Nothobranchius furzeri: one gene and its partner. The protein of the gene in region 1 interacts with the protein of each later gene in a pairwise test. Links are inferred from orthologs where the notes say so. Each region holds a gene or a part of one and is shown on either strand. Other genes may lie near its edges.

The links.
Region 2: the proteins of tnfaip3 (region 1) and tax1bp1b interact in binary tests that used the Homo sapiens proteins (3 or more experiments, as listed by UniProt). The link is inferred for Nothobranchius furzeri from reciprocal best matches to the Homo sapiens genes TNFAIP3 and TAX1BP1.

Annotation. Positions count from the first base shown.
Region 1 is NC_091752.1:25,134,630-25,139,127, forward strand, and holds the start of tnfaip3 (tumor necrosis factor alpha-induced protein 3), read right to left. Parts: upstream 3,084-4,498; 5' UTR 3,006-3,083; intron 480-3,005; exon of another isoform or gene 339-479; intron 1-338. UniProt on the Homo sapiens protein: Ubiquitin-editing enzyme that contains both ubiquitin ligase and deubiquitinase activities.
Region 2 is NC_091757.1:59,022,114-59,025,936, forward strand, and holds part of tax1bp1b (tax1-binding protein 1 homolog B), read right to left. Parts: intron 2,349-3,823; 5' UTR 2,332-2,348; coding exon 2,155-2,331; intron 1-2,154.

The DNA of each region.
Region 1 (4,498 bases):
AGACATCGCTGACGTTAAAGGCTTACGTAATTGCAATGGCAACTATCTTTAAGACAATGTAGTGCTCCTTCGCGTTTCACGCCGCGGGTTTTGATCCAGCGTCGCGGCGCCGATGGTACATTTATCCGTTTAAACGCCTCGTTATCCGCTCGAGGGTGACGTCTTTGTAAACAATGGCTGTCAAAGCCACTGTCGTGAGCAGGCTTCCTCCTCCATGTCCCCAGAAACACGACCACACGTTACTCCAGGCCCAAACATGGTGTATCTACTCAGTCTGACCGCCTTCGGCGGGGAATGTTGTCCACACGGAGACGTAGAAGGCAGGACGGTTGTCTTACCTGTGTAATATGTCGGGAGGTAGTAACAAAGCCTCCCGGATGCTCAGGCTAGTCCTCTCTCAGCCACTTCACTCAGCGCAGCGCTTCTCGGCGCCATTCAACCTCCTCTTTCCTTCTGTATCAGATCTATTCTGGAGCTCTCGCAGCTCGCGAAGCTTTTCGAAACAACAGACACTCACGTCCGCTAACGCTAGTTTTTTTTTTTTTTTTTTTTTGAGAAAAAAAGTCCAAGTCAAGGGGATTTCCACGCAGGGACTTTCCGTTCACCCATTTTCCTCCCTCTCTCAGTCACAACCTGGTGCAGTAGGGGCCCGCGGCCGCTAGGGGGCTCCTCTCTGACTGACTCAGTACTGAAAAGCATATCCCACCTACTGAGCACAAAGGAGCGTCACTCTGTTTCATGAAACAGCCTTAGAAATAAATCATTAACCCTGAAAAAGACTAACCTCAGCGAATAAGTCAGGAATACGAAAGACAAACACGTGAGAAGCAGATTTTTAAAGTGTTTACAACAGACTGTTGTTTGGACTCCTGACATGAATATGGGCTTTCTGCAACACACAAGTCCCAGTATCACTCTTCTCTTTTATTCAGCGTTTTATGCTTATTAAACTCCTGTTTTGTTGTAATTTTGTTCTGAACACAGATGCACAACAGGTGGGTGTCTAGAGGGGGGCCTGGGGGAGGCGAGGGGGGAGAGGCACAGACAGGCCCCCTTGCATAAAAGACTGGCCACCCCAGGTGCCACCCCAGAAACTGAGACAGTAAAACATCTAGTGCATATAATAAATAAAAATCTAAAACATATAAACAATATCAAATCAAAGGTGAGATGGCATGGTGTTTACTGTTTTAGTATGTTTTGCATTAAATTGAGCTTGGTTAATGCTCCAAAGTATTTCAGAAATTCAGATGACGAGACTATTGGGTTCAAACAAAACAACAAACCATTCTGTTTCTTGTTGAGGTACATTTTTTCATTGATGCTATGTTTTAAAGCTCATCTATTTATGTTGTTAGGTGAAAAATATTTAAATAATTACAAATAAACAAAAAGTAAAAATGCACTAAAACGCTAGTCTGGAAATGATATCTCCTACTGTGCAAAGACCTAGTCTGGATGTCCTGCAGACGTGGTCTGGACTAACAGACTTAAGGATCTGCACATCCATGTGACATTTGTTTGCAGGGCTACTTAATCCAAAGTGCGTCCTCCTCTCTTTTCTAAAATAATTCTGACTTTACAATGTCAGGGAAAGTCCCAATGTTATTATAATAAATGTATGCATTCATTAACGGAAAAGTGTCAGATAATTATTGATAAAAGTGCACCATGTTTGTGCTTTGGCTTTATTTTAGTTTATAGTAGCCAATTAGATCATGATCAACGCTTAGTAATTTAGTAAAAAAATATGAAGTTTTGTTTCAAAGTTATGAGCCGTTTACAACTGCCACCCTTATCTAAATATGTGCCACCCCCCAAAATAAATTCTAGACATGCCACTGATGCACAACCCACATGTACTGACAAGACTTGAAAAATAATAAAATTGCAGATGTGGAAAAACATCTCAAACATGAATGTAACTTTTTATGATAAAACTGCATTTATTTATATCTGTTGTGAATTTTATTAAGATAACCCTTTGTGTAAAACATGTAAAAGATGAAAGACTGTGAGCTATTATATAATAATAATAATAATAACAGCAATAATAATCATATATATTCTACCCACACTACACATGTGGGGTTACAAAGAAAGAAATTGTGAATTCAAATGACTTATTTTGGCATTTCAAATCAACTATATCAAACTCAAGCATCATATTTATTTGCAAATACTTGGAGAAATTAGCCGCAGCATCCAGACGGTGTAGAGAGTAAAACAGTTACTAATGCTTATGTTTAATCCCACGCTCTTTTCAGCACCTTTTGGTCATGGTGGTTTACAAACTGTTGCCACAGACTGAAGCAGAGCCCTCCAACGGTCGTAACAGTGGTCTACCAGCCTGACAGCTACTGTGCTTTTGTTGCAGCTATCAGACTTCTGATGGTGATGGGAGGAACAGAAAGATGATTTAACATCTGAATGGCCTGAATAGAGAAATACCACTCACCTCTTTGATTGAGTTCATGACAGAAATTTAGTTTGTGTTGTTTGCGTTTGTTCCTATCGGGATCAAATTTACAGTTTGTTCAAAACATTTAGAGAAAATTACCATTATTTCAGTTTCTTAGGTCATTTTCATTTTTTATTTTTATAACCCCCCCCCCCCCCCCCCCCCAGTTATTTTCAAAAGAAAATTTGACTGAAAGTTTTTTGTGCCTTGTTTTATGGATGTTTTGCTTAATGTTTGTATCCAGCCAATGATATTTGATATTGCTTGTATATTAATTTATTCACCGTCCACTGAATTTGCTTTTTTCAGCAAATATATAGGCCTATCTATGCTATACATACAAATATGGATTTTCTACATGATAATCCTTTAAGCAATATTTGATTTGCATAAACTGTTCTGCATCAAGCCTTAGAATAAAGCTCCACACAGATCAAAACAAGAGAAATAGAAGACACGTATCTCAGCTGAAAATTAAAGTGCTTCAAAATAAAAAATATCATTCACACATTAAATCACACACTCAAAAAATTGGTCAACTCACCAGTAAAGTTGATTTTAGCTTAAATCTTAAAGACACAAGCAAACCGTAAGGTTTTAGCTACCTGCTGTCATCCCATGCTGCCACCCCTCTGCTGACTCACTGCTCCCCTTTCCATTTTCCTTTCTCTTCCCTGTGGAACGCCTCCTAGTTCCCTGTTCGGCTGGCCAAACACCACAGTTCTGTTTCCTCCCTACTCACACAGGGAATAGAAACCTAAGAAACATAATCACCTGACAAATAATTCTGGAATTATTCACTGAATTTGACATTAAAACCCCAACCACTATATTCCAGATTTGATATTTAGCACATTTTCTAATCAATGCCTGGATTGTATTTAGAAATGTTTGTGTTTGTAATGGTAATAATGTACAAAACTTTCACACATGTTTAGAGGGTTTGTCACTTGGTCACGTTTGACTGAGTCAGGCTTGAATGATGAATGCAAGCTGGTTATGGGAGCTATTAAATAAAAGCAGCACAGTCACAAGCAGATTATGGAAACTCCCCAGAAAAGACAAATGACCCACTGGTGTGCTCAAGCCAGTAACTGGTTGGTCACAAAAAAGTTTTAAAAAATAAATCACATTTTTCTGTGGTGGAAAAAGGAAATGCTTGGAATTGAATCAAGTCATGGGTGAAGTTTCATTTAATATTGTTTAAAACAAGAGCACAAACAGGCTGAAAACATCAAAATCCTGTTTAAAGGGATACTTTTTTATATTTTCACATCATTTTTTGAGCCAGTATGTGCTCAAATGACCCTTAAAGGCTACCCAGCCTCTATCGCCCCCTGTGGTCAGAATGTTCCACTTGCAAATTTAGACTGGTGGCCGTTTTGTTGGGACTTAGAAAAAATCGAGCTGACATACCTGGTGCTGCAGTCTGGTTCCAGCATTTCAGCTGTTAGATTAAGGCGTTCAAAAGACAAACGCACAGCGAGGAGATACGTTTGCTTTCTGTTCTACAAGCAAACACTAGGGGGTACTAAAAGCAAACCAAAACAGCCTAGTTCCCCTTTAAATGTTAAAAAAGCTTTAATAGTTTTAAAACAATACGAAGTAAAACTCTACATTCTCTTTATTTAAGATATTTTACCAACACAGCTACAATTTTCATAAAAACAGTCATATAATAATGTTCTGAAATGTATTATCAGACCAATTTATTTTGAAATTTATTCAGAAATTAGAATAAGCATTTTTCTTTTTTCCTCCATTCGCTTTTATTTTGCAGGTACGATACAACGTTTTTATTTTTGCAACATTTTGAACACATGAGAAGATTCGTGCTGAAGCCAACAATCTGAATATTTCCATCCTGACAGCAAAGTAAGTGCCAGTGACACGTTTCACAACTTTAACTTCCTTCCTGAATTACAACACTTTTATAAGTTACACGCATGCATTCTCATTTATCTATGGTTTTATTATAAAGTACGCAAAATTATCAAATCCTCAAATATGGCGTCTGTGACTTGTTGAGTTTTCACA
Region 2 (3,823 bases), on another chromosome or scaffold:
CCCCAGGAAGCCAAGCAACAACAGAGGTGGCTCCATTATAGTGTTGTGTGATCATGAGGTGTATTCCATGGCTGTGGTGAGTGGGCAGTGCGGGCATCATCCGGCCTATGCCAGCTGATGCCACCGCACCACCCCACTTACACCCTCAGCCCTCGGTGTCTAAGTGCGGTTTAAAATTGGAAGAGGGCACCGGCACCCGGGAGGAGGCTGAGATATCCCCCTGCCAAATGCCGTTGAATGTGCTCACTCCCAAGGCCCTAAGTGTGTGTTTGTGTGGAATGTCGTCGGTGGAAGTGTATAAGGTGCAAATAAAATTGGGGGGCAGGTTGCCACAGGAATGCGGAAATGGGGTCCATACCCGCACTCCCTGACTTGCCCACTTGCCCCAGCAGAATATCTATGCCCATTCCCACATTTGCACAACTTCCAGAATATATGACATGGGAAATCCAGGTAAAGTTGGGTCCTCCCCCTCCCCTGTGATGGAACGGCAGAGGAGCCAAGGTCTACCTGAGGCCCCCGAACCCGGGCCAGGCACTGTTGCATGTTCCTGCCTTCTTCCCGGCAGCATACATGTCAGGACCCGACCCCCAAGGCCCCGCCCAGATCCCCACACAGGGCCGGCCATCCCGGCCAACAGCAGTACGTCCCCAGCACAAAGCATCCCAGTTTCAGGCATCAGCTATGGATCTAAGACAAGGTGTGTGCTGTAGAGTTTAAATGAAGATAAACTGAGTATCGCCAGTATGCTAACTGAGACTGAGAAATGTTTAGCTGGTACCTCTAAAAGGCAACAAGTGTTTTTTTTTTCTCCATGTTTTATTGCAAGTCAGTATGAGAATTAGACTAAAATGTTTGAAGAAGGAATGATCTTTTGTATAGCACCTCTCTAGATAAAAGTCACTAAGCACTTGCTTGCTTGTCGGCTTTGGTTTTGCATGCGTTTTTTTTTTTCAAGTATTTTATTTGTAACGTTGGAATTCTTATCTTTATTGCAAAAAAATTTATAACAGTAAATGTATAACAGTTTGGGAGTTAGTTTGTTTTATTGTTAGAAAAACAACCCTAGTTGTTAGCTGGAAAACAAAATGTATTTTCTCTATATTTCAGGAATCAGCATCATTTGACAGACTGGGCCAGAAAATCCATCCTTCTCAGCTGAACATGCTTCTGAGTTAAAGACTGCAAATGAAAAGGAACTGAATAAAATAAATGTTGTTATATAAATATACTGGTTGACTCATTTTTCACAACTAGTACAGCTCTGTTTACATTTTTACCGCATTTTCAAGTAAACAAAGGATTATCCAATTATTTCATTAATGAACAACTATAATAATCGATAGCTGCAGCCCTAGAACCAACCAGTGTAAAAAGAGCATATTTGCAAAATGAAAATTGTTTACTTCCATTTCAACAAATGAAATAAAGAAAACATGTGCAAGAGCTTTACAGGGAGTGAAATAAAGGCGTGTGTGTAAAATATGTACTACAAGACCCCAACTTTTATTTGGCATCCTTCCACAATTGAATGGAATCAAATAGTTGCTCTTAATAAGCTGCAGTAGTTTGACCAAGAGAAAATAGTGAACAATGTTTAGAACTTCAAATCAATGCTGATGTGTAACTTACCTTCTGGTGACACTTAAAAATAAATAGACTTTTAACGACTTTTTCTCAACAACTAAGATGGACTTCAGCCTTAGCATGAGTAATGATAAACTCTAATTTCTTTGGTTCCATCTTTAGACAAAGACCAAACACAAGGAGCCAAATCAAGCAGGAAGAGATGTGAACAGAGCTGTAAGTTTGTGTTTTTGTAACAATCGTCAGCCTATCTACACTTTCATCTGTTCTCTGGTAGATAAAACCATGCAGGTGGAGAAGAGACTAGCTAAACTTCAGACGAGGCCAAAATAAATTACTGCCACCGTATTGGGTTTAATGTGCCCCCTGTAACGAGATCCATGTGGGACACTTAAACGTGTGCTTGGGTCAAAATGCTCCACTCCTCTTGCCAAGCCTCTTGCCTTTTCCTTTTGCAGTATGAAAATCCTGAGCAGAGATTTACTTATTTCATGTTGCAACTAGCCAATATAAGATTTACCTTCTATGGTAGTCACAGAACTAAGGTAGGTTTACATTTCATAATACCTTAAATATGCCAACCCAGTCCTTTGGATGTGGTTTGATGAACTTTGTCAGGGTATAGTGACACTCCAGTGCAGCATGAGGAAGGTAACTCTTCCCCACATTCTGGAAGATGACATGTGCAAAGTTTGACGTGTCCATGTTTCTGCTCAATGAGGTTCTGTCCAGGTACAAATCCATCAATTTTTCAGCAGTGCCTAGACAGTGAGAAAGAAAAATGAAAAAATTAACAATGATATCCTGTGACTGGTCCACAGTTATTATAAGCTTTAGATTTTACAAAAGGCACTTCTCAGACCAAAAAGACAACATTGTGAGAATGCATTTTTAAACCTTAATGTGTAGAATGACTGTATCTAACTTTCAGTGATCTAACAGTTCATCTACATCTACTCGCTTCAATGCAACTAATGTATGGCTAATGACACCGAAGTGACTGTTTCACTCCTGTTCCATAAGTTTGACATCTGTTGCCAGTTACAGCTCAGCAATAGAAGTTTCCGGATGACAAGGAAAGATGAGTCATACACAGTAAGTTGATAATAAATACATTTCCCCGTAATATCAAGTCGTTGGTAATTGAAAAAGTAGCTTGAGACATTTTTAGAGCCGATTACAACAAAGTCAGTTATCAAACTGTGTCCTATCTTGTATCATGGCGCTAGTGCACATGTGGGCACCTTTATGCTTAAACATGGTGTTCATTATGGACAATTCATGATGAGCACAGAAGTCCAATAACAAAACACCACTTGAATTCATATTTGGGGGGGGGGGGGTCCCTTCAAACCACACGTCTCCAGATCTCATTGTTGTTGCCCATGTGAGTGTTGAAGTCTCCAAGGTGAACAAGGGAGTTACCAGATGGAGTGCTCTCCAGCACCCCTCCAAGGACTCCAGCGAAGATGGATAGTGTGATCTGCAGTTTGGTGCATAAGTTCAAGCAACCGTCAAGACCCGTCCCCTCACTCATTGGTGGAGGCAGGCTACCCTCTCATTCACCGGGACACACCCCAACGTATATGCACCAAGACTGGCTGCCACAAGTATGCCCACCACTGCTAGGCGCTTCTCAGTGGGGGCAACTCCAGAGTAGTAACATGTCCAGCTCCTTTCAAGGAAACTGGTTCCAGATCCAGAGTCATGCATCAAGGTGAGTCCGACTATATCTAGTCAGAACCTCTCAGCCTCTCACACCAGCTCAGGCTCTTTCCTCACCAGAGAGGTGACATTCTATGTACCAACTGCCACCTTCTGTAGTCGAGGATCAAAGCGCCTTTGGCCATCTACCATCTCACATGGCCCTTCCCACGAGCGGTGAGCCCATGGGAAAGAAGACCCACATCTCCTCTTCAGGCTGTACCTAGGGTTGCAGGTATTAACTGGTTTTACTATTAACCACGGTTAACCCCCCTGTAAAAAACAGGTCCAACATGGCCTATAAAAAGCAAAAAGACAATAACGTGACCTGCACGGATAAAACAAAAGTGAAACTTGAATGCACACACACTAAGTGCAAACACTAATGATTAATTGTATCCCGCTACATTACAGCGTTAATAAAAGTGCTCCTCTTCAATGAGTTTGTTACGTGCACGTCTCAGCAAGCTAACGGCCTGACCGAGGCCATTGTGAGCATGTTGGCCACGAGACTCCTGTCCATGGTCGGCGA